4 linked regions of the Canis lupus familiaris genome follow. The protein of the gene in region 4 interacts with the protein of the main gene of each other region in a pairwise test. Links are inferred from orthologs where the notes say so. Each region holds a gene or a part of one and is shown on either strand. Other genes may lie near its edges.

The links.
Region 1: the proteins of KRT40 (region 4) and SHFL interact in binary tests that used the Homo sapiens proteins (3 or more experiments, as listed by UniProt). The two-hybrid records come from large-scale screens. The link is inferred for Canis lupus familiaris from reciprocal best matches to the Homo sapiens genes KRT40 and SHFL.
Region 2: the proteins of KRT40 (region 4) and FARS2 interact in binary tests that used the Homo sapiens proteins (3 or more experiments, as listed by UniProt). The two-hybrid records come from large-scale screens. The link is inferred for Canis lupus familiaris from reciprocal best matches to the Homo sapiens genes KRT40 and FARS2.
Region 3: the proteins of KRT40 (region 4) and SH2D4A interact in binary tests that used the Homo sapiens proteins (3 or more experiments, as listed by UniProt). The two-hybrid records come from large-scale screens. The link is inferred for Canis lupus familiaris from reciprocal best matches to the Homo sapiens genes KRT40 and SH2D4A.

The regions. Positions count from the first base shown.
Region 1 is NC_049241.1:51,360,270-51,365,767, reverse strand, and holds the start of SHFL (shiftless antiviral inhibitor of ribosomal frameshifting protein), read left to right. Parts: upstream 1-2,060; 5' UTR 2,061-2,190; coding exon 2,191-2,211; intron 2,212-2,653; coding exon 2,654-2,777; intron 2,778-2,963; coding exon 2,964-3,013; intron 3,014-4,631; coding exon 4,632-4,670; intron 4,671-4,837; coding exon 4,838-4,987; intron 4,988-5,373; coding exon 5,374-5,477; intron 5,478-5,498.
Region 2 is NC_049256.1:6,681,211-6,686,626, forward strand, and holds the start of FARS2 (phenylalanine--tRNA ligase, mitochondrial), read left to right. Parts: upstream 1-1,978; 5' UTR 1,979-2,105; intron 2,106-2,439; exon of another isoform or gene 2,440-2,656; intron 2,657-5,416. UniProt on the Homo sapiens protein: Is responsible for the charging of tRNA(Phe) with phenylalanine in mitochondrial translation.
Region 3 is NC_049237.1:22,873,194-22,878,862, forward strand, and holds the start of SH2D4A (SH2 domain-containing protein 4A), read left to right. Parts: upstream 1-2,231; 5' UTR 2,232-2,559; intron 2,560-2,569; exon of another isoform or gene 2,570-2,723; intron 2,724-2,864; coding exon of another isoform or gene 2,865-3,571; intron 3,572-5,314; coding exon of another isoform or gene 5,315-5,390; intron 5,391-5,669. Other genes in the region: collagen alpha-2(I) chain-like, read right to left, coding at 2,865-3,571, 5,315-5,390. UniProt on the Homo sapiens protein: Inhibits estrogen-induced cell proliferation by competing with PLCG for binding to ESR1, blocking the effect of estrogen on PLCG and repressing estrogen-induced proliferation. May play a role in T-cell development and function.
Region 4 is NC_049230.1:21,657,869-21,663,508, forward strand, and holds the start of KRT40 (keratin, type I cytoskeletal 40), read left to right. Parts: upstream 1-1,962; 5' UTR 1,963-2,753; coding exon 2,754-3,200; intron 3,201-3,694; exon of another isoform or gene 3,695-3,697; coding exon 3,698-3,780; exon of another isoform or gene 3,781-4,039; coding exon 4,040-4,196; intron 4,197-4,911; exon of another isoform or gene 4,912-5,001; coding exon 5,002-5,163; intron 5,164-5,231; exon of another isoform or gene 5,232-5,242; coding exon 5,243-5,368; intron 5,369-5,519; exon of another isoform or gene 5,520-5,632; intron 5,633-5,640. UniProt on the Homo sapiens protein: May play a role in late hair differentiation.

The sequences.
Region 1 (5,498 bases), on a different chromosome or scaffold from region 4:
CTTGATCTCCCTCTCCCTGAACGGAAGCCAGATCCGGTGACTGGATTTTAACATCCAAAAGGTGGCAGTGGAAGTGATGCTGTGTGACTTCCGACACTAGGTCATAAAAGATGCAACTCCAAGTCCCACCTGGCTTTTCTTCTCTGGTTGGATGGCCCGCCCTAGGGAGGCCAGCTGCCAAGTAGGGAGTACATGCGAGCAGCCGAGCAGCCCGAGTAGGGAGGAACTGAGGCATTCCCACCAACAACCAGCACCCAACAACCAGCACCCACCAGCCAGCCAGGTTGAATGAGCCATCTTGGAAGCAGACCCTCCAGCCTCAAACATTCAGGTGACTGCAGCCCTGGCCAACATCTTGACCACAATATTTATGAGAGACCCTGGGCCAGAAAGCCCAGCAAAAGCATCCCTAAATTCCTAATCCACAAAAAACTATATGAGACAGTTCGATGCTCAGTGCCTGGAATGGTGCCTGGCGCAGAGTCAGAGCTCGATATGATGGCCATCATCGTGAGCATCTAGCAGATCTGGGGATGCCTGGGTGGCTCTGTCAGTTAAACATCCCAACTCTTGGTTGCATCTTAGGATGTGATCTCCAGGTTGTGAGATCTAGCCCACTTCGGGCTCACACTGGGTGTGGAACCTGCTTAAGATTCTCTCTCTCCCTCACCCTCTCCCCTCTCCCCCTGTTCAAAGGCTCACTGCCTCTCTCTAAAAAAGAAAAAAAAGAAAAAAAGAAAGAAGAAAGAAAGAAAGAAAAGAAAGAAAGAAAGAAAGAAAGAAAGAAAGAAAGAAAGAAAGAAAGAAAGAAAGAAAGAAAGAAAGAAAGAAAGAAAGAAAGAAAGAAAGAAAGAATCTAGCAGATCTGGTTCATGTCGGAGCTGGATCAGTTTCCCACCTGTTTCCTCCCTGCTTGTCACCCACCCTGGCTGCGACCTCCTTCTCCTCACTGGTAAGTGGAGATTATGTACTATATATCACAGATACGTGTATAACAAGAGAGCCCCTCCACACCTCCCCACCTCCCTCAGTATAAAATCCCAGGTCCTCTATGCAGCTACAGGCCTGGCTCTCAGCCTGAAATTCCACATTCAGTCACAAAGAACCATGAACTGTTTACACTCATTAATAGGCTCCAGACGGGGCACACAGACCCACAAACAAAGCTTTGGAGGTCAAGTAGAAAACATTAGAACATCTATACTTTTTCATCTCCGTTTCTTTTGGTGTGTGTGTGTGCGTGTGTGTTAAAGAATAGCTTTATGTAATAGGGGCCTCTGGCTGGTTCAGTGGGTGGAGCATGTGACTCTTGATCTCAGGGTCACGAGTTCAAGCCCCACCTTGGGTGTGGAGCCTATTTCAGGGGAAAAAAAAAATTGTGCTGGCCCAGAGGATTCTCAACCTTCCGATTTACAGTGCAGATTCCCAGGCACCCCTGGACTACAGGCTGTTGCTGGACTGCTAGGCACCAGTGACCTCTATTTATCCAACAAGCATCTCCTCCTTCGCCCAACTACCTCCAGCTGTGGCACACAGTAGGCGGCTTAGTGACTCGTTAGGCTACCCCATGCCAGGTGCTACTAAGCGCTCCACCCCGGGTCTCGAATCCTGGCAATCACACCCAGCCACGATGTAGCCGCTGTTATCATCCCCATTTTACAGAGGAGTAAACTGAGGTGCAGACAGGTCCGGACGTAGCCGCGGAAGAGCCTCAGAGCGAGGAGGGGCCCCAGGTCCCGAGGGAGGGGAGCTGCGAGAGCGATGAAGTGGGGAAGCGCGAGCTGGGGGGGGCCCGGAGATTCGCGGCGGCCTTGCGATGCGGCCCCGCCCCCACGAGGGACGTGAAGACGCGGACCCCGCGCAGCGTGGGGACATGTGACCGACTGCAGAGGCCGCGCCGCCTCCACCGCCCGAGGCCCGCGCGCTCCGCCGCAGGGTGCAGACCCCCGGCGCCCGCGGGGCCTGGGGCGCGAGGGCAGAGGCGGAGCCGGGGCGGAGCCAGAGCGCCCCGTCCACGCCGTCACCCCCAGCAATCGAAAGCGAAAGAGGGGGCCGAGAAGGAAGGGCGGAGCCGCCCGGAGGCCCCGCCCCCTGCCCTGCGCGGCTGCTGGACCCGGGCGCGCCCAGGTAGGGGGGCTCCGAGCGCGCAGTGCGGCCCCTCGCGGAACCCGCGCCGCCGCCGCCGCCACCATGTCTCAAGAAGGTGTGGAGGTAGGAGATGCCTGCGCCTGGGCCGGGGGCCCCCGAGAGGCGCCGGGGGCGCCGAGGGGGCTTCGCAGTTCTGGGGACTCCATCCGAAGCCCAGACCTTACCCCTGGCGGGCACTCGCCCCCCCTCGGAAAGGATAATGACCGCCCCGGCCCCCCAGAGTGAGATGCGGCCTCCTCGAGGAAAAGGGGGGCTGCAGGGTCAAGGGTCAGAGGCCAGGTTACCTGGCCGGCCTCCTCCCCTAGCCGGGGGCGCTCGCCCCACTCCGCTCCCTCCCCCAATGCCCGGTGGGGACTTTGGCTTCTCCCAGGAAATGCCGTAGAGGGATGGTGGGGGAGGCCAAAAGCAAGGGTCAAGTTCGGGCGGGGAGAAGGATGCCTAGAGATGGAGGAGGGCAAGTCGCCCCTCTCCTTCCCCGATCGGAACCCCCCTGTGCCCACCCCAGCTGGAGAAAAGCGTCCGGCGCCTCCGGGAGAAGTTTCATGGGAAGGTATCCTCCAAGAAGGCGGGGACTCTGATGAGGAAATTTGGCAGCGACCACACCGGAGTGGGGCGCTCCATCGTGTACGGTGAGCCGGCTGGGGTCCCGGCCCTGGTAGGGGAGAGGAGGGGGGAGCGCGCGAGGGAGGTGTGGTCTGTGTGAAGAAGCGCCGCGCTCATCTTCTGGGGAGGGTCTATATTGGGGTTCTGGGGACCCTGAAACTCCCAGAAGATCCTTCAAGGACCTTTTACTTACACTTAACTCTTGCCACCAGGGGTAAAGCAGAAAGATGGACAGGAACTGAGTAATGACCTGGATGCCCAGGTAAACTGCCCCTCTTGCCCTCCAAGGATGGGGTAGCTGGGGACCGGGAACGGAAGGAACCTGGTGTATCCATGATGAGCCCCATCTGTGCACCACCAGTTCCTAGTTCATGATCCACATTGACTTAGTCACCTTTTAGTCATGCGTCTGACCCGGGAGCCTGCAAACTGTCGGCACTCATTACATGTTGGTGGTATTAAGTGGGGGAGAGAATCGTGAAATTGGGCGGTGAAATGAATCAGGACTGATGTCATTACAGAGGACCCCTGGAGGTCAGTCGGGAAAGGCTTCCTGGAAGAGGTGGTGCCAGCTTTGATGCTGGGGAGAAGGGATCCTGGGTGGTGGGGGAGTTGGAAACAGTCTTCCTGGAAGAGGGAACAGAGTGAGCAAAAGAACACGCAAGACAGGCTAAGATAAACATGAGATGGGGGAGGAGAGAGGGCAGGGGAGCCCATATGATGAATGAATGGCTTTGAGGCACAAATGCAACATGGCTACTTTACACCTTAAATGACTTTGGTGGCCAGTGCACTGTGCATTTCATCTTCCTATAAGGCCCCCCCCATAGTTGCTGAAGAGTATAATAAGGTACATATTGAGTTATTTATATTTACATGTGTAAAGGGTATGATAAAGGTAATAGGAGGGGCGCCTAGCTGGCTCAGTCTGGGGAGCATGCTACTCTTGATCTCAGGGTCGTGAGTTCAAGCCCCACATCAGGTGTGGAGCCTACTGAAAATAATTCTTTAAAAAATTATAGGAGGGACGCCTGGGTGGCTCAGCGGTTGAGCACCTGCCCCTGGCTCAGGGCGTGATCCTTGGTCTCAGGATCGAATCCTACATCGGGCTCCCTGCCTGGAGCCTGCTTCTCCCTCTGCCTACGTCTCTGCCTTTCTCTCTCTGTGTCTTTCATGAATAAATAAATAAAATCCTTTAAAAAATAATAATAAACAAATTAAAAATAAAAGTAAAAAATTATAGGAAAGTGAGCACTCCCCAGCAGCAGGCTTTCCGCGTGTTGCCTCCAATTCCAACCTGAAGGCACTCGCCAAGCAGGCCAAGCAGGTGGCATTTAAGCCGTTTCCACCTAGAACCATAGCTGCGCTCTGAGATGCCCCTCATTAGGGATGCAGGGGGAGTGATTTGGCTCCGCCCTCGCAGCGGGAAGTGCTGGAGTCGGATGGGAACCTGTGTCTGTCTGAATCCAGAGCCCAAGCCCTTAGCCTAAAGCGGCATGGACTCAAAGAGGTGACCCCTCACAGTGCCACCAAGTGTGTGGCATTTACCAGCAGGGAGGGAGCGCGGGGATCCAGGCCTCTTCTGCCATTCTCATTCAGGGTGATCTCCGGCCACCCCTCTCCCAGCTCTGCCTCAGTTTCTTTGTCTGAGCGGTGGGGATAATAGGTGTGCCCTCCACTGTGAGGACAACTGAGGTCGTGTACCTGGCCATCTACAGGCAGGCCCTGCTCAGACAGCCCTTCCTGAGTTAGGGACTCCCTACTCATATGGGGCCAGGACCCTGCCTCCCTCCTCGTCCAGGAGCCTCACCCCCAACAAATAATGGTAAAAAGAGGTCTGAGCTGCACCCGCAGTTCCTGCCCCTGATGTTTCCACCCAGGACCCACCGGAGGACATGAAGCAGGACCAGGACATCCAGGTGAGTCCGGGGTATGGGATGGGGGGAGGTGGAGTGAGGAGGACATCCTTGGGGAGAGTGGATGGTGTCCATGGACGAGGAGAGACATTATAGCAGCAGGAGAGGAGACTTACGCGTGTTCATATTAGCGGAGGAGGCGTGACCACCCTCTTGTCCCTATCCCGAAGGCCGTGGCGACGTCCCTCCTGCCACTGACAGAAGCCAACCTCCGCATGTTCCAACGTGCGCAAGAAGACCTCATTCCCGCCGTCGATCGGCAGTTTGCCTGCTCCTCCTGTGACCACGTCTGGTGGCGGCGCGTGCCCCAGCGCAAGGAGGTGATCACCCGATCCCCATCCTCAGTATCTGAACCTCTGACCTAAGAATGTCAACCCCTGAGAGCCCAACCCCTGACCTACAGTCTCAGAGCGTTCAGCCTCCACCTCAGGCCCCAGCCCTCCGACCCTGGTCGCGCCCAGAGCCCGACCTCTGACTCCACGCTGCCATGGAAATCCCAATCCCAAGTCTGGATTCTGACCCCCACCCCAGTAGTGGTGTGCTTCTGGTAAAGGCTTACCACCCAGCTAGCGCGGGGAGGTGGGGGGAGTGCCCCAGCTCTGTAGTGTTTGCCAGTTTCCATGGTGTAAGCATCCCCACTGCGGCCACTATCGAGCTACTGGGGCTCACTGCTAACGGGGAGCCTGCTCCCACTCTACACACCCAGGTGTCCCGGTGCAGGAAATGCCGAAAGCGCTATGAGCCGGTGCCATGCGACAAGATGTGGGGTGTGGCTGAATTCCACTGCCCAAAGTGTCGGCACAACTTCCGGTGAGGGTGCTGACCCCCACC
Region 2 (5,416 bases), on a different chromosome or scaffold from region 4:
TCTCTTCTCCAGGTTTCAGAGGGCGCCTTGCTTCCCCTCCCACCGAGGTTTTCAGAGGACACTCTGCTCCCACCCCAGGTATCCGAGGACCCCCTGCTCCCCCCCAGGTCTCAGAGGTTCCCCCCCGCCCCCAGGTGTCCGAGGCCCCCCTGCTCCCCCCCAGGTGTCCGAGGCCCCCCCGCTCCCCCTCCAGGTGTCCGAGGCCCCCCCGCCCCCCGTACCCAGGTATCCGAGGCTCCCCTGCTCCCCCTCAGGAGTCCGAGGCCACCCCTGCTCCCCCCCAGGTGTCCGAGGCCCCCCCGCCCCCAGGTATTCGAGGCTCCCCTGCTCCCCCCAAGGTGTCCGAGGCCCCCCCGCCCCCCGTCCCCAGGTATCCGAGGTTCCCCTGCTCCCCCCCCAGGTGTCCGAGGTCCCCCTGCCCCCCGCCCCCAGGTGTCCGAGGTCCCCCTGCCCCCCGCCCCCAGGTGTCCGAGATCCCCCTGCCCCCCGTCCCCAGGTATTCGAGGCTCCCCTGCTCCCCCCAAGGTGTCCGAGGCCCCCCCGCCCCCCGTCCCCAGGTATCCGAGGCTCCCCTGCTCCCCCCCCAGGTGTCCGAGGTCCCCCTGCCCCCCGCCCCCAGGTGTCCGAGGTCCCCCTGCTCCCCCCCCAGGTGTCCGAGGTCCCCCTGCCCCCCGCCCCCAGGTGTCCGAGGTCCCCCTGCCCCCCGCCCCCAGGTGTCCGAGGCCCCCCTGCTCCCCCCCCAGGTGTCCGAGGCCCCCCTGCTCCCCCCCAGGTATCCGAGGCCCCCCTGCCCCCCGCCCCCAGGTGTCCGAGGCCCCCCTGCCCCCCGTCCCCAGGTATCCGAGGCCCCCCTGCTCCGCCCCAGGTATCAGAGGTTCCCCCCCGCCCCCAGGTGTCCGAGGCCCCCCTGCCCCCCGCCCCCAGGTGTCCGAGGCCCCCCTGCTCCCCCCCAGGTGTCCGAGGCCCCCCTGCTCCCCCCCAGGTATCCGAGGCCCCCCTGCCCCCCGCCCCCAGGTGTCCGAGGCCCCCCTGCCCCCCGTCCCCAGGTATCCGAGGCCCCCCTGCTCCGCCCCAGGTATCAGAGGTTCCCCCCCGCCCCCAGGTGTCCGAGGCCCCCCTGCTCCCCTGCACGTGTCCTCTCCGCCCCTCGCTCCCCCCGAGGCGCCGGGACCGCGCTGGCCGGCCTGGGAGGCAGGTGGGCGGCGGAGGCTCCGCACCCGGGCCCGAAGCCGCCGCCGCGGGACAGACACAAGCCGCCCCCGGCCCCGCCGCCCGCCGCCCGCCGCCCGCCGCGTCACCTGTAGTTGTAGGCGCTGAAATGCTTGCTCTCTCTCAGCATCGCCCGGTACAGATCTAACACTTGTGCGCGGCTGGAGGCTGCCATTTTGGAAAGGGGGAAACAAACAAACAAACCCGCGAAGCGGGGCGTCTTCGGGAAGGCCCCGACGTCACCCAACCCGCTCGGCAAAGCCGCGGACGCGTGAACCGCGCGGCGGAGCCGGGCCGGGGCGGCCAGCGGGCCGGGAGCTCGGCAGGCAGGCGCAGGCGGGCGCAGGCGGGCTCGGGGCAGCCCGAGGGGGAGGCGCCGGCCGGGAGGCGGGCCCCGGGCGCGGCCGCTCCCCCCTCCCCCCCCCCGCGGGCCGAGGCGGGCAGAGGGGAAGCCGCCGGGACGGGGCCGAGCCCGAGGACGCCTCGAGCGCCCAGAGCCCGCCGCCCGAGAGCTGCCCGCCGCCGCGTTGCCATGGTTACCGAGCGCGCCGCCGCTCGACGCCCCGCCCCCGGCCGCGGAGGACCCGCCCCCTCGCGCTGGGGCTGCCCTCCGCGCTGCCTGAGGGCCCGAGCCGGGCTTCCGGGGCGCCTTGACTTTCCCGCGCTGTGTCTGTGGGTCCCCAGCGCAAGGGCGCTTCCGGGGTGCGGGGTCGCGACGCGGGGGCCGCCGAGGCGGTGGGGGCGAGGGACTCCCTGCTGTACGGCTCCGCTCGGGGCGACCGGCTTGGGGGCTTGAGAGCAAGGACCCCTCTCTTGCCAAGATGGCGGCGCCCAGCGAGCTGCGGGGGTCTCGCTGAGGCTGCGAGTGCGGCGGCGGCTTGGAGCCTCCCGGGGGGGTGAGCAGCGCGCAGCGCGGGGTGCCTGGGGGTGCCTGGGGGTGCCTGGGTCTCCTGCGGGCGGTGGGCGAGTGCTGGCCTGGTCGCGGCCGCGGTCGGGGGCGCTGGCTCGGGGCTCCCCTTCCCCGCCTGTGCTCTGAGCTCTCGAGCTTTGCAGGGTCCTGGGTCCTTCGGGGCCGGGGCCGGGCTGCTGCGCCCGCGGAGACCTGGGGCGCCGGGGCCGCTTCCGTGCATTTAGCCGACCTGATGATTTTTTTTTTAAAGATTCACTTATTTATTCATGAGAGACACAGAGGCGCAGGCAGAGGGAGAAGCAGGCTCCACGCAGGGAGCCCGACGCGGGACTGGATCCCGGGACCCTGGGGTCACGCCCTGGGCTGCAGGCGGCGCTAACCGCTGAGCCCCCCGGGCTGCCCCGCCGACCGGATGATTGTTAACGTGGCTTTTGCATTTCACCAAGAACTTGGTATTTTCCGGGACTTTAAGGGGCAGGAAGCGCCCGTCAGCGTACTTGCAACCTGGTGTCCCTGCGTGCACCCAGATGGCACTTGGTAATGTTACTCCTTGGGATGCAATGGCGTTTGAAAAGAAAAAATATAAAAGGCATGGAAGAGAACATACTTTTTTTTTATCATTATCATTTTAAAGATTTTATTTATTTTATTCATGAGAGACACACTCGAGAGGGAGAAGCAGGCTCCATGCAGGGAGCCCAATGCGGGACTGGATCCCGGGACCCCGGGGTCATGACCTGGGCCCAAGGGAGGCGCTCAACTGCTGAGCCACCCAGGTGTCCCCCAAACATACTTTTTTTTTTTAAAGATTTTATTTATTTATTCATGAGAGACACAGAGAGAGAGAGGCAGAGACCCATGCAGAGGGAGAAGCAGGCTCCTCGCAGGGAGCCCGATGTGGGACTCGATCCCGGGACCCTGGGGTCACAACCTGGGCCGAAGGCAGATGTTCAACCACTGAGCCACCCAGGTGCCCCAAACATACTTTTTTTTTTTTTTTTAAAGATTTTATTTATTTATTCACAAGAGACACACACAGGGAAAAGCAGGCTCCCTGCAGGGAGCCCCACGTGGGACTCCATCCCAGGACACCCGGGGTCACGCCCTGGGCCGAAGGGAGGTGCTCAACTGCTGAGCCACCCAGGCTTCCCCCAAACATACTTTCATTAAAATCTTTTTAAACCTCCTATTTGATTTTTTTTTAAGGCCTCTCATTTCTATGAACATCAAAATAAGGCTTTTTTTTTTTTTTTTTAAATAGGATACCCAAACTTCTGTCGCTCTTGCAGGTTGATCACGTCATTGGGCGAGTCTTCCCTCAGGATTATTCGAAGAGATTTTAATAGTTTGAGTTTGTCCTGGGCATTGCTTAAACGTTCAAGAAAGGAATTGCACGTTTTTACGGAGTAAGATCTAGAGCTTTTTTTTTTTCTTTCCGTGCTATGTGAGTGCTAATGACGTAAAAGGCGGCACCTGGGAAAAGGACACCATTCGTCCAAGTTACACATAGAGAAAGCTGGGGACCCCTGGGTTGCTCAGCGGTTGAGCGTCCAGGGCATGACCCCGGGGTCCTGGGATCGAGTCCAGCATTGGACTCCCTGCGGGGAGCCTGCTTCTCCCTCTGCCTGTGTCTGTGTCTCCCCCACCCCCATGTCTCTCATGAATAAATACATAAAATCTTAAAAGTACAGAGTGCTTCAGGTGGAGTACTGGGGAAGTGCTATGGGGGTCTCAGCGTGAGAGGTCACTTTCATGGTTGGGGCCTGGGCCACCCCTCAGATGGACAGTCAATGTGATTTTGACTAAGTTTCAGGGATTTTTAAAAAAATTCCCCAGGTGATTGGTTGCAGTCTGGTAGAGAAGCATTGATCTGTAGGAATTAGGGGGCCTTTTGGAGGAGGTGGTATTCATGTTGCTTGAGAGAATTTAGGTTAGCTAAATCTTTTTTTTTTCTAAATATTTTATTTATTTATTCATGAGAAAGAGAGAGAGAGAGAGAGGCACAGGCAGAGGGAGAAGCAGGCTCCATGCAGGGAGCCCGGTGCGGGACTTGATCCCAGGTCTCCAGGATCATGCCCTGGGCGGAAGGCAGGAGCCCAACTGCTGAGCCGCCCAGGGATCCTCAGGTTAGCTAAATCTTGAAAAGAATTCCGGGATTTGGATATGTGGATGTATTAGTAAGATGGTTATGAAGAATGTAGGTTTACCCTTACAAAGGGTAAAGGAAAGAGTCTGAGTGAGGGCTAGGGAAAGATGATCCTGGTCTACAGAACTCTGAAGCCTTATGAGGGAGGGAGTAGGAGAGTGCTTGACGGTGAGTGCAAGAGAAGTACCCGGAAAGGGCTGAAGCCAGCTGAGTCCTTGTAGGATCTCAGTTAATCCTTTGGAACCTTGATGGGAAAGAAAGCTGTTAATTGCATTTAAAGATAGGGAAGCTGAGAAGTTAGATTACTGAGCTGGAGGTAAGCAGCTAGGAAGCGGGGAGGGTAGGCATTGGCCCAGGATATGATCTGTCTAGCTGTGATGCTACACTGCTTTACAGACAGTCTTCAGTGGAAGCTTCAGGAGTTTGAGGTGTTTTAATTTTTCTTGGATAACATGGGTAAATTTCAGATGTATTTGAAGTTTAATTTCGTTGGATTCCCACTTATTTGTGAAGCTAACTGGTTAGCCCCTGACAAATATTCAGAAAATCGCAAATGTTGATTTTTATATTCGCTTTTTAGTCTTTTAAGAGAAATTTACATTTTTTTCTATTACCATTTTTTTTTCCCTATAACTATGTCTTAGAAAAGACCTACATCGAATACCTTTTTTAGGTTGTCTGTTCTTATGTGCCACAGATATTATTATCTCATGGGGAATTTCTGAGACTCACCTTTCTATAGAAGCTCTTTTCAAATATACCTAAGAAAATCTGTTCTCTGAGAAAGTTAGAAAGCAGCTATATAATCTAACTTCATTGATTGGAGGATAAGAGTTCCCCTTGTGGGCAGCAGCAATAAAACTGACAATCGATTTTATGTAAAGTGTATCAAATGTCACTTCTAGAGGATTTTTTTTTTTTTTAAAACAAATTCTTTGCCTTCTGAAGGAAAGAAACCATCTTTTCCTAATACAGACTCCTACCAACTTCGGAATTCTTTCACAGTGTGGTTTATGGTAGTATTCTGCTACAGATCACCTTCATTTTTTATACTAGTTATGAGGGATAACTTAAAGGAATGATGTTTTTTTGTTTGTATGTTTTCTAATGATTTGTTAATCAACCAGCTATGTGTGATGGTAATGACAGCT
Region 3 (5,669 bases), on a different chromosome or scaffold from region 4:
TTTTTGATCTAATCACTTGGAGTGCTTATTGCCTGGGCCTCACAGACATTATATTCCCTAGCTCTGAGGTGAGGTCCTTGGATCTGCATTTACAGAAGTTATCCAGTATATGAAATTTTCTGTACACAAAAGCTATCTAAAACTGGCTTAGAAACAAGACTAATGAGGAGGTATATATTAGTTATGCATTGCCATGTAACAAATTTCCTCAAACTTAGTAGCTTCATATAGCACAAATTTACTACCTCAGTGTTGTTGATTAGGAATTGGAGAGTGGCTTAATTAGGTGGTTGCATGAATTTGTACCGAAGCTATAAGCCAATGCTGCAGCCACCCAAAGGCTTGACTAGGGCTGGAGGATTCACTTCCAAATTGATTCTGTGGCTGTTGGCAGGAGTCCTCAATTCCTCCCCAAAGGTTTGCTCATGACGGAGCAGTTGACTTCCTTTAGAGTGAAAGATGAAAGAGAAAGAGAGAAAGAGAGAGAGAGAGAAAGAGAGAGAGAGAGAAACCAAGACAAGCTACAAGGTTTTTTTAAAAAAATTATTTTTATTTATTTTGTTAATTTCAACTCTTATTTTTAAATGTTAAACTTATTACAGGCTGATCAAGTAAGATCAAAAATGACTTCTTTAAACATGCAATATTTGAAATTAGAAAGTTTTGACTTAGAACTAATATTTTTTAAGTTGCAAGAGCATTTTATGAAGATGTTGCCTGTTTCAAATATAGAGTAGGATCTTCTCTTTCACTCCACTTTTTAAGACCAGCAAAGACCAGGGATATGTTTCTTTGGGTTCTCCAAATATTCCATCAGAGTTTCCTCTCCACAGATAACCCCTTTGTTTTTGATAGCACTGGAATAAGAAAATCCTAGTGCTTGTCCTGTTTTTCATCTCAAAAGGCCCAGGGATTTGGACCAGTCTTGTGTTTTCCACTTTTTTCCACTGTGTGGCACTGAGTACATTTAAAAAAAAAAAAAAAAAAGAAGATTTTATTTATTTATTTGAGAGAGAGAGCACAAGCAGAGGGAGCGGCAGGCAGAGAGAGAGAGAGAAGCAGACTCCTCACTGAGCAGGGAGCTCCATGTGTGGCTGGATCCCAGAACCCTGATCACCACTGAGTGGAAGGCGCACATTTAACCGACTGAGCCACCCAGGTGCCCCCACATTTTTAAATAAAGATCTTCTTGCCTGCTTCAGCATCTCCCATCTTGTTCACAGGGTTAGCGGCTCTGCCCACTGCTTGCATGGAGAACACTTAGCAGTCACCCAGGCTGCTGGTGGGCCAGAAAGTGCACTACAAATTTGAGGCTGGTGTTCTCACAGTCGTGCCTCAAAGACCAGTGCTGGATGCCCAGCCAGGCATGTGCTCACGTCTTTTACAACCTAATCTCAGAAGTGACATACTGAGGAGGTGGGGATGGATCACTGAGGTTAACATGGAGTCTAGGTACCACACAAGGCAAAATCCAAGGTCTGAGTATGAAGTTATAACTTGAAACTGCAGTATGTGATGTGAAATAGTATAAGCTAATGTATTTGTACATTCACCAGTCCACGAACTATTCTAAGCACATTACATATATCATCTCATTTAACCTTCACAACAACTTCATGAGGTAGGCGTTGTTATTATCCAGAAGGGAAAACCGAAGTACAGACAGGTTAGTGGCCAAGTGGGAGTACTCTTATAAAGAAAGACTTATCAGCACATGAACTTGAGCGTCGGGGAAGGTCATCCGCTGCAACCAGTGTCCGTTGTAGGAAAATTTTACTGACTGATGAACCACCTGTTAGTTCTTCAACTGCTGGATCCATGAAATGGGAGGATTCATTTTCAGCTGGCCACAGCCGCTACCCAGGGGCAAGAGACAATCCAGCCAAATGCAGTCACAGGCCATTCATTTAATAAGCAGTGGGAACCAAAAGTAAACCAGAAATTCTCCCCTGATGCGATCCCTAGAATGGTTCCTAAATAGGTTCTCAAGGACTTCTCTCTGCCCCCAAGGCTCTTTCTAACTTTGAGTAACTTCTGAGGTCTAGAGAAGTTAGGAAGAAGAAAGTTTCACTTTTGAAGGAAGCCAATCAGACCCCTGAATGTATCAGGTGGGCTGTGGAGAGGACTAGAGAAGGCTCAGTGTTCTTGACTCCTCCCCACCATGCGCAGGGTGGGGTTCCCCAGAGCAGGCTATTTCTCCGCGCACATTCCCAACGCTCCTGCACAATGGAAAACGCCCTGCAACGTTTCTACTCGCTTCTGCCCAACTTTCCTGTACTCCGTCAGCTCCTCCCTTCCGGCACCACCCCAACCTGTTCTTGCTGCTATTCACAAGATTCCTTTACCTTCTTTCCTTTCTCCAGAGTTCTTTCATTTTTCCCTCCGTGTCTGTTGTTTGCAGCCTGCATCTTTCCAGCCTTTCGCCTCCTTGATTCTGCCCTACAAAGCTTTGTGGCCTGTGCTGACAAGTGCCCGAGTGTCTGATAAATGACTTTAATGTCAACAAACGGGGGCGGGGCGGGTAGAGTAAGCTCCGGGAGTCGGGAGGCGACCCGGGAGGTGAGCTGACTCGGCCTGCTGGGGCTGTCCGTGTGACCGAGGCCTCCCGCCTCCGCAGGCCCGGGCTTGCAGGAGCCCTTGAGCCCCGCGGCGGAGCAGGCCCGGGCCGCTGACACCACTGCGTCCCGCGGCCGAGAGGGCGCGGCGGCCTCGGCGGGCTGCAGGTGGGGGGCGGCGGCCTGGCCCCCACACGCGGCAGCTCGGGGCCGGGTGCCCGGGCTGGGGGGTCCCCTGGGGCAGCAGGCCGCGCCGACGCCTGGGCCTGGAGCGCGTCCAGGGGCCCGGGTGGGGCCGCGAGCACCCAGTCAGCCGCTGGGGCACGCGGGCCGCGGGTGGGGCAGCGCGGGCGGGCGGGCGCGCAGGGACACTGTTTGCACAAGCGAGGCCGAGGGTTTGAGCCGCCTTCCCTCCGTCTCGGCCCCGCTGGACGCCGCGTGGCCCGGGGCCACCTGCTGGGGAGCGCGGGCCCCGCCCGGTAGGTGCGGGGGGCGGCGGGGCCAGGGGGCAGAACGCGGGACCGTGCGGGTGGGGGCGCGGGAGGCGCCGGCCCCAGGGGGAAGGCGAGCACTTCTGGGGCACCGGGAGGGGCGCGGGCGCGTCACCAAGCCCAGGCGGCCGGCGGGGGTGGGCGAGCCGGGAGCGCCGGAGCACCCGCGGGGCCTGTGCCTGCCGTGGGTCCGGGCCTCCTCCGCGGCCCGGCACCGCGCTCCCGCCCCCGCCGACGAGCGCCCGCGCCCGCGCCCGCGCGGAACTCCGCCGCCCAGACCTTCCGGGACCGCGGGGCAGCCGGCTCCCCGGGGCCCGCCCGCAGGACGGCAGCCCAGCCTCGGTCCTCCCAGTCGGGTGGGCGCCCTGCCCGCCCCTGCCCGCTCTGGCCCTCGGGTTCGCGGGGGCACCGAGAGCCGCGCGCGCAGGTGCCAGTTTATAGGCTTCCTTAACGGTATCGTTCCCTTCCCAGGGCGCAGGGCGCAGGAGCAAGGGCACCTCTCTCTAATCTTAGTCTCCTCACCTCCTAAAAGGGTTTTTTGTTTGTTTGTTTAAGTAAACACGAGCACCCGCCTGAACTCAGAACAGGGAAATCAAGATTGCGCATGCCCTACCCGCAGAGCCAGCCAGGCCCCCGCCTGAGAGGCTTCGGATTGCGGACGGAATACTAACGACTTGGAGCTTTAGAAAGTGAATAAACACGTGGAAGTCCTATGCAGGCGTAGATTTGGCCCATGAGTGCAATTTCCTAGATAAATCTGTACAGTCGTTTCACATTTCTGAAGAATGGCACATATGTACAAAACTTACCAAATTGCTATCACCTCTGGTAAATCATTTTATCCTCAAAAATAGCCCTTTTGGGGCACCTGGGTGGCTCAGTGGTTGAGTCGGCCTTGGACTTAGGTCCTGATCCCCAATGAGTCCCTCATCCGGCTCCCCACAGGAAGCCTGCTTCTCCCTCTGCCTACGTGTCTCTCTCTCTGTCTCTGTCTCTCATGAATAAACAAATAAAATCTTTAGAAAAAAAATAGCCCTTTTGCAGATAAACTCTATTAAGTGAAGTTGAATAAGATAAATGAAAATCTGAAAATAGCCAGCCATTTTAAAAGAAGTACAATTCAAACTATATTCAAACTATATTCATTTTCTTAAAAGATTGTATTTATTTATTATTTATTTATTTATTTGAGAGCGAGAGAGGCAGTAGGGGGAGGAAAGGGGGGACAGGGACAGACTCCATGGTCAGTGCCAAGCCAAAGGCAGGACTCAATCCCACTACCCTGAGATCCTGACTTGAGCCAAACCAAGAATGGGATGTTTAACTGACTGAACCACACAGGTGCTCTAAATTATATTCTTACCATTAAAGTTTTACTGTCCATATTACATTACTGCTATAATTTAGGCTTTATCTACCTGCCCCCCCCCCCCAAGGTCTTAGAATCATGAGAAACACAATTTTTATTTTGTCGAACAGGGCTATGGATGATGTGAGAGTCAGGCCAAATGTATGTTATCCTGGAAAACAACTGATCCTATCACCCTTTAGAAATTTAGTTTTGGAATAAATAGCAGATTTGGGCTTGTTGCTTGTCATTTCCTTTTTTAAGTAAAGTGCTATATGAGAAGAAAACTGAGTTAGCTTAGCTTTTCTTTTTATTGGATCTTGAATAACTGGAAGTTTGCTGCTCTCAAGTGTGTTAGATGAGGAAAGTCATTCAAAGTTTGAATCAGTGTCAGTGGTTGTCCTTTCAGGGACTGAAAGTGGGAAAAACCCTGGTTAGTTTCCTCATTCCTGTTTCCTCTACCCTACCTCCACTTGTGTCTGTAACTTCACATAGACTATGACATAGTCTTCACATTACAAAGATGTATGGTGCAGTTCCTCATTTCACGAATGGGAAAACAAAGTAGTGAAATGACAGCTGAAGGGCACACAGCTCTTCAGAAGCTCATGCTGGGGTCCTTGCTAGGTGTTCTGTGATCACCCTGTGCTGAGTTTTCCTTCTGAAAGTGTAAGGGAGGAAGGAGTTAATTCACAGCCTTAGAATGGCATGAATATTATTCATCTGCCTGACTCCAAGGCAAGTGCTAGCTGAGTATCCACTGAGGACACAGGGAAGCCAGTGTCTTTCCTTCGAGATCCAGCAGTTAAGTTTAATGCTAAAAATCCATGTTTGCCAGAAAAGGCAAAACAAACTCAAATTAAAACTGTGAAAGAGCATGAGTGTCTCATGGAACTCTTCACACCTGTGAGAGGCTGTACCATTTGTGCAACTCCTGATGGCTGTGAGAGGGGAAACTGAGAACACGAAGTACCTGTGAATCAAGTCGGCAAACATGTACACATGGGCCACTGTAACATTTCCCTGCTTCCTTCCTTGGGGGAGGTCTTTTTCATACCTGACCTCCCCTCAGCTTATCTACAGTTACCTAGATGAGGCTTCTGCCCCTCAGAGGCATTGTGTGTCACGCACCTTCAAGTCAGCATTTACATTGCTGTAAGATCCTACTGTTCTTCATTCTGAAATTTCATACATGGTACCATATCCTGATGATATGCTGATTCTGAGCTTATAGAGAAACTCTGTTGTGCTATTGGAGGACAGTAGAGCCAACTT
Region 4 (5,640 bases):
AATGGGCAGAAGACATGAACAGGCATTTCTCTAAAGAAGACATACAAATGGCTAACAGACACATTAAAAAATCTTCAACATCCGGCAGCCGGATGGCTCAGCGGTTTAGCGCCACCTTCAGCCCAGGGCATGATCCTGGAGACCTGGGATCGAGTCCCACGTTGGGCTCCCTGCATGGAGCCTGCTTCTCCCTCTGCCTGTGTCTCTGACTCTCTCTCTCTCTCTCTCTCTCCTCTGTGTGTGTGTGTGTGTCTCATGAATAAATAAATAAAATCTTTAAAAAAATCTTCAACATCATGCATCATCAGGGAACTACAAATCAAAACCACAATGAGAAAATAAATTTATAAAAAAAAAACACAATGACATACCAACTCACACTGGTCAGAATGGCTAAAATTAACAACTTGGAAACAACAGATGTTGGTGAGGATGCAGAGAAAGGGAAACCCTCACACACTGTTGGTGGATATGCAAGCTGGTGCAGCCACTCTGGGAAACAGTATAGAAGTTCCTCAAAAAGTTAAAAATAGAACTGCCTTACCACCCAACAGTTGCATTACTAGATATTTACCCAGAGGATACAAAAATAGTGATTCGAAGGGGCACATGCACCCCAATGTTTATAGCAGCACAATCCACAATAGCTAAAACATAGAAAGAGCCCCAATGTCCAACAACTGATGAATGGATAAAGATGTGATATATATATATATATATATATATATAATATTCCATTACATATAATGAAATATTAATCAGCCATCAGAAAGAATGAAATCTTGCCATTTGCAACAATGGCATGGGTGGTGTTATGCTAAGCAAAATAAGTCAGTCAGAGAAAGACAAATACCATATGATTTCACTCATATGGAATTTAAGAGACAAAACAGATGAACATGGGGAAGGGAGAGGGAAAATAAAATAAGACAAAGACAGAGAGGGAGGCAAACCATAAGAGACTCTTAAACATAGGTAACAAACTGGGGGTTGCTGGAGGGGAAGTGGGTGGGGGGATGAGGTAACTGGGTGATGGGTATTAAGGAGGGCAAGTGATGGTATGAGCACTGGTTGTTGTATGCAACTGATGAATCACTAAATTCTAAATTCTACCCCTGAAACTAATACTACACTATATGTAAACTAACTTGAATTTAAATAAAATCTTGAAAGATAAAAAAAGAACATTTAGCATTAAGTGTTGAAATGTGAAGAGAATCACTAAAATCAAACCCAAGAGTCTACAACCATACCACCCTGAAAGTGTTCCAATCCTATCTGATCTTGGAAGCTAAGCAGGGTCAGGCCCGGTTAGTATTTAGATGGGAGAGTAATACATACTAAGGGACTATTTAAGTCCATCTATTTAAGACCTCTTGGTTTGTTTTTGGTTTTGGTTTTTCCATCATCAGCTACCTAGGAAGTAGTGTTCAGAGTTAGAAAAAAATTTTTAGTTTTTTCTGGATCATGAAAATTTTAACTTTGTCAGAATAGTGGGCCTTTTCCAGTAAAAATCTTAAAGATTCTAGAGGCAATCTGTTCTGCCCACCTTTGAAAATGAAATACATACCACAATTATGCCAAGGAAAGTGAAAGAGATTATGCTACATACATAATAGAGATGAAATTCAAAACAAAATCCAAAAAAGTTATGTCTCAAATCGCTATCCATTTGGTACTGCACCAGGGATTTCATCCAATGGAACTCCTGGTCTGGAACTCAAATTATAAAATTTTATTCCCCAACGCCAGTATTTCACATTTTTATGAAATTGTGACCTTAAAAAAATAAGTAAATAAGAGAAAACAGATTCTATCTCAGAAGAAAAGTCTTTTATAGCTTCCTTGCCCCTATTCTGAACTGTATCCAATGAGGGTTTAGTTTCCCAAGAAACTAAAAGATTGTAACTTAGAAATTGTATTTCACTCTTATTATTAATACAGGTGAAAATAGTATACATAATCTAAAAATGAGGCATAGGTAACATAGAGAAAGCAAGTTTCAGGAAATCAAAGATCACAACTCCAGATCTTGATAACCAGTTTGTATTTTGGCCTGCAGGCCACAGATTATGCCCATCAGTTATTTATAAAGTGACTTTTCAATTTGCACACAGGTAGATGTAGTTCATACACACACACACACACACACACATATGCATGTGCACACACACTTTAAACCCAGTACACACCTCACTCCTCTACCATGTGAGCACAACAAGACCATAAAAAGCATTGCAAAGATGGTTAACTACATGGAACATTTTATGATGGTACACAAACAAATAAATGGCATTTAATGAGATGTAATATGAATTTTAAAAGGATAGATAAACAATTTACAATACAGGAGCAAAATCTGTGATAATATCATTTTTGTTATTTGTAATCAGTTGTATCTGCAATTACTGAGTGCCAAATGTCCTCTGCCTTTCTGTATTCTACCAAAAAGATAATGCATCTCATGAAGATTCTCTGAACCAAGCGTCTTATCCTACTGGCAGATGGAAATATTGCCCTTACTTAGTAACCTGAAGCTATGCCTCTTTTATGAGGCATAAAACTTCCTCAGAAAACAAACAACACTAATGAATGTTCATATGAAAACTGGCACCAACAGTGATAAACAGAACATCCGGTATGTTCTGTAAATACCCATTTGCAGGCTGTATAAAAGTCTCAGGAGGGATGGAGACTCTGGGAACCAGTCAATTGGAGTTTTGCAACTAGTCTTGTTCTTCACTTCTAATAGGATGACTTCTGACTGTTTCCCCACGTGCTGCTCTTCTGAATCCTGTGCCCAGGCTTCCGACTGTGCACTTGCTTCAACCTGTTCCATGGAGGCCACCTGCCTCCCCAGTGCCCCTGCTACATCCAGATGCCAGACCCCTAGCTTCCTATCCAGGTCTCGCTTGCCAACTAGTTGCCTCACACCATGCTACTTTGCTGGGAATTATAATATTCCTTGCTTGGTGGGGAACTGTGCTTGGTGTGAGGATGGGGTGTTCAACAGCAATGAGAAGGAGACGATGCAGTTCCTGAATGACAGACTTGCCAACTATCTAGAGAAGGTCCGTGGCCTGGAAGAGATGAACGCAGAGCTCGAATGCAGGATTCGAGAACAATGTGAAGAGGATATCCCACTGGTGTGCCCTGATTATCAGTGTTACTTTGACACTATTGAAGAGCTTCAGCAAAAGGTCTGGTGTTTCATTGCCCTAATGCTTCACCCTCCCAATCTGTGATTTGCTTTATCTTTATACTAAAAAAAAGGCTGTTCTATGGAAGTTCCCCCCATCCCCAGGGAAAGGGGTTCTCCAGGAGGAAAAGGTGGTGGGCTGAAATTCAGCAAAAATTAGCATGAGCCGTGGGGCTGCCAGTAATCATTGAATGGCCAAAATAAACTCACTCACAACTACCTATGGAGAAAAATCCAAGTTCAACTGCCAAGGAATATTGCAAAATGTTTTAGGCCACTGAAAAACGGACCCTTTTTATTTCTATATTTATTTTATGAATGGTCCTGCTTTTTTCTTCATTGAAGTGACATGCTTAATAAGAAAAATAGGCTTCAAGCTATTTTATACTGTCTTATAAAGACTTTTAAAAGATAAATAATGGTATAGTTGTTAAATGAATAAATATTTAAGTTTCTTTCAAAGAGCCCTCTAGTATATATAACTAACTTACTTACCAGATCTTATGCACGAAGGCAGAAAATTCCAGACTTGCTGTGCAACTTGACAACTGCAAACTGGCTGCTGATGACTTTAGGTCAAAGTAAGTTAAATTTGAATTTGAAAATAATTCATGGCTGTCTCTCTCTCTCTCTCTCTCACACACACACACACACACACACACACACGTGCACACTACAAATATTCTCTACATAAGCTTTTTTTAAGCTAAGAATGCTCACAAAGCTCACATTAATTGGGATATAGCTTCCTTGAGTCGTTGTGTCATTCATCAGCATGCCCAGCATCTTGCACAGTGTCTAGCAAAATAAGCACCATCTGTATCTCTTTTGCTGTGAAAGGTATGAGTCTGAACTGTCTCTTCGCCAGCTGATAGAGACGGACATTGGTGGCCTGCGTGGGATCCTGGATGAGCTGACTCTGTGCAAAGCTGATCTGGAGGCCCATGTGGAGTCTCTGAAGGAAGATCTCCTTTGCCTTAAGAAAAACCACAAAGAGGTAAGGAAAGTGTAAAATTGCTGAATGAATGTGGAGGTGACAAAGTCAAACTGATAGATTTCGTTTTGTGTATATAAATCAAACTCGGGCAGATATTGCTAAAGCTGGAACAAAATTACTCGAGGCACTAATGTCCAGCCTGATGACTCTGGCATATCTCTGGGTGTATATGTGAAATGGGCCCTGGCTAGTACCACTTGAAAGACCAAATTGTTCACCTGCTATTGCTTTCGTGAAGGAGGTAACTTTACAAATGGCTTTCCTTGGAGGCTTTATGCCACATAACTCTAATCCATAAGCTACAAAAATCAGGCTGATAAACACAGGGCATGAAGGCCATTTCAGAAAGGGGATAACATCTTATGCAATATTTGGACCAATATTTTAAAATATTCTACATCTATAAACTTTCTAAATCATAAAATACGAAGTATATGACTATCTCATGTTGATAAAGCTAAAAAGTGAAAAACTTAATGATGTAAAATGGTATATTTTCCCTTTGAGCATGTGTTGATGATAATAGCATTTATTGAGACCTTCCTATGTGCCAAGGACTTTCATAAGTGCTTTATATGAACATCAACTCATATCTCTCACAATAACTCTCTAGGAAAGGTAAAATTATTATACACCTTTTGTGGATGCAGAGACTGAATGATGAAAAGAGAGTCAACCTAAGCAATCTGAATCTAAATCCCACACTTTTACTCACTTCTCCAGAAATTGGATGCTCTTGGGATGTCAAGGTGAATTCTTCTTCCCCACCACTCTGTGACTTTCTTTACTCCATTTCCTCTTTCAGGAGGTTGACTTGCTTCGTGGACAGTTGGGTGACCGACTCAGTGTAGAGCTGGACACTGCCCCCACCATCGACCTCAACAGGGTCCTGGAAGAGATGCGTTGTCAGTATGAAACCGTGCTGGCCAACAACCGTAGAGACGTGGAAGAATGGTTTGCTGTTCAGGTCAGTACCCAGAGCAAGAAAATGACAAGCTTCCAGACTTCTGCCTTATTTGCATCCTCTAATCATACCTGGTTTACAGACAGAGGAGCTGAATCAGCAGCAGCTGTGCAGCGCAGAGCAGCTGCAAGACTGCCAGACAGAGATCCTGGAACTGAAACGCACAGCCAATGCTCTGGAAATTGAGCTCCAAGCACAGCAAAGCCTGGTATGTAAGGGAAAGACAGCTCTGTTTTTGTCACTGAAGAATTAAGCCCTGAGATGCTAGTCCCTCTTCCATGAACCCAAGGAGAGATCCACAGTTCATGTGGCAGAAAGTCTGAATTTCCAATATGCAAGGATTGTATTCTTTGACTTACCCAAATACTGCTGTTTACTGAGCTAGAAGCAGAAGTGATAGGTCAACAGTCTGTACTGTCCCAACAGGATTCCCTGACCTTCCCTCCTGGGCTTGAGCATGATCCTGCAGCACCTTCCAGA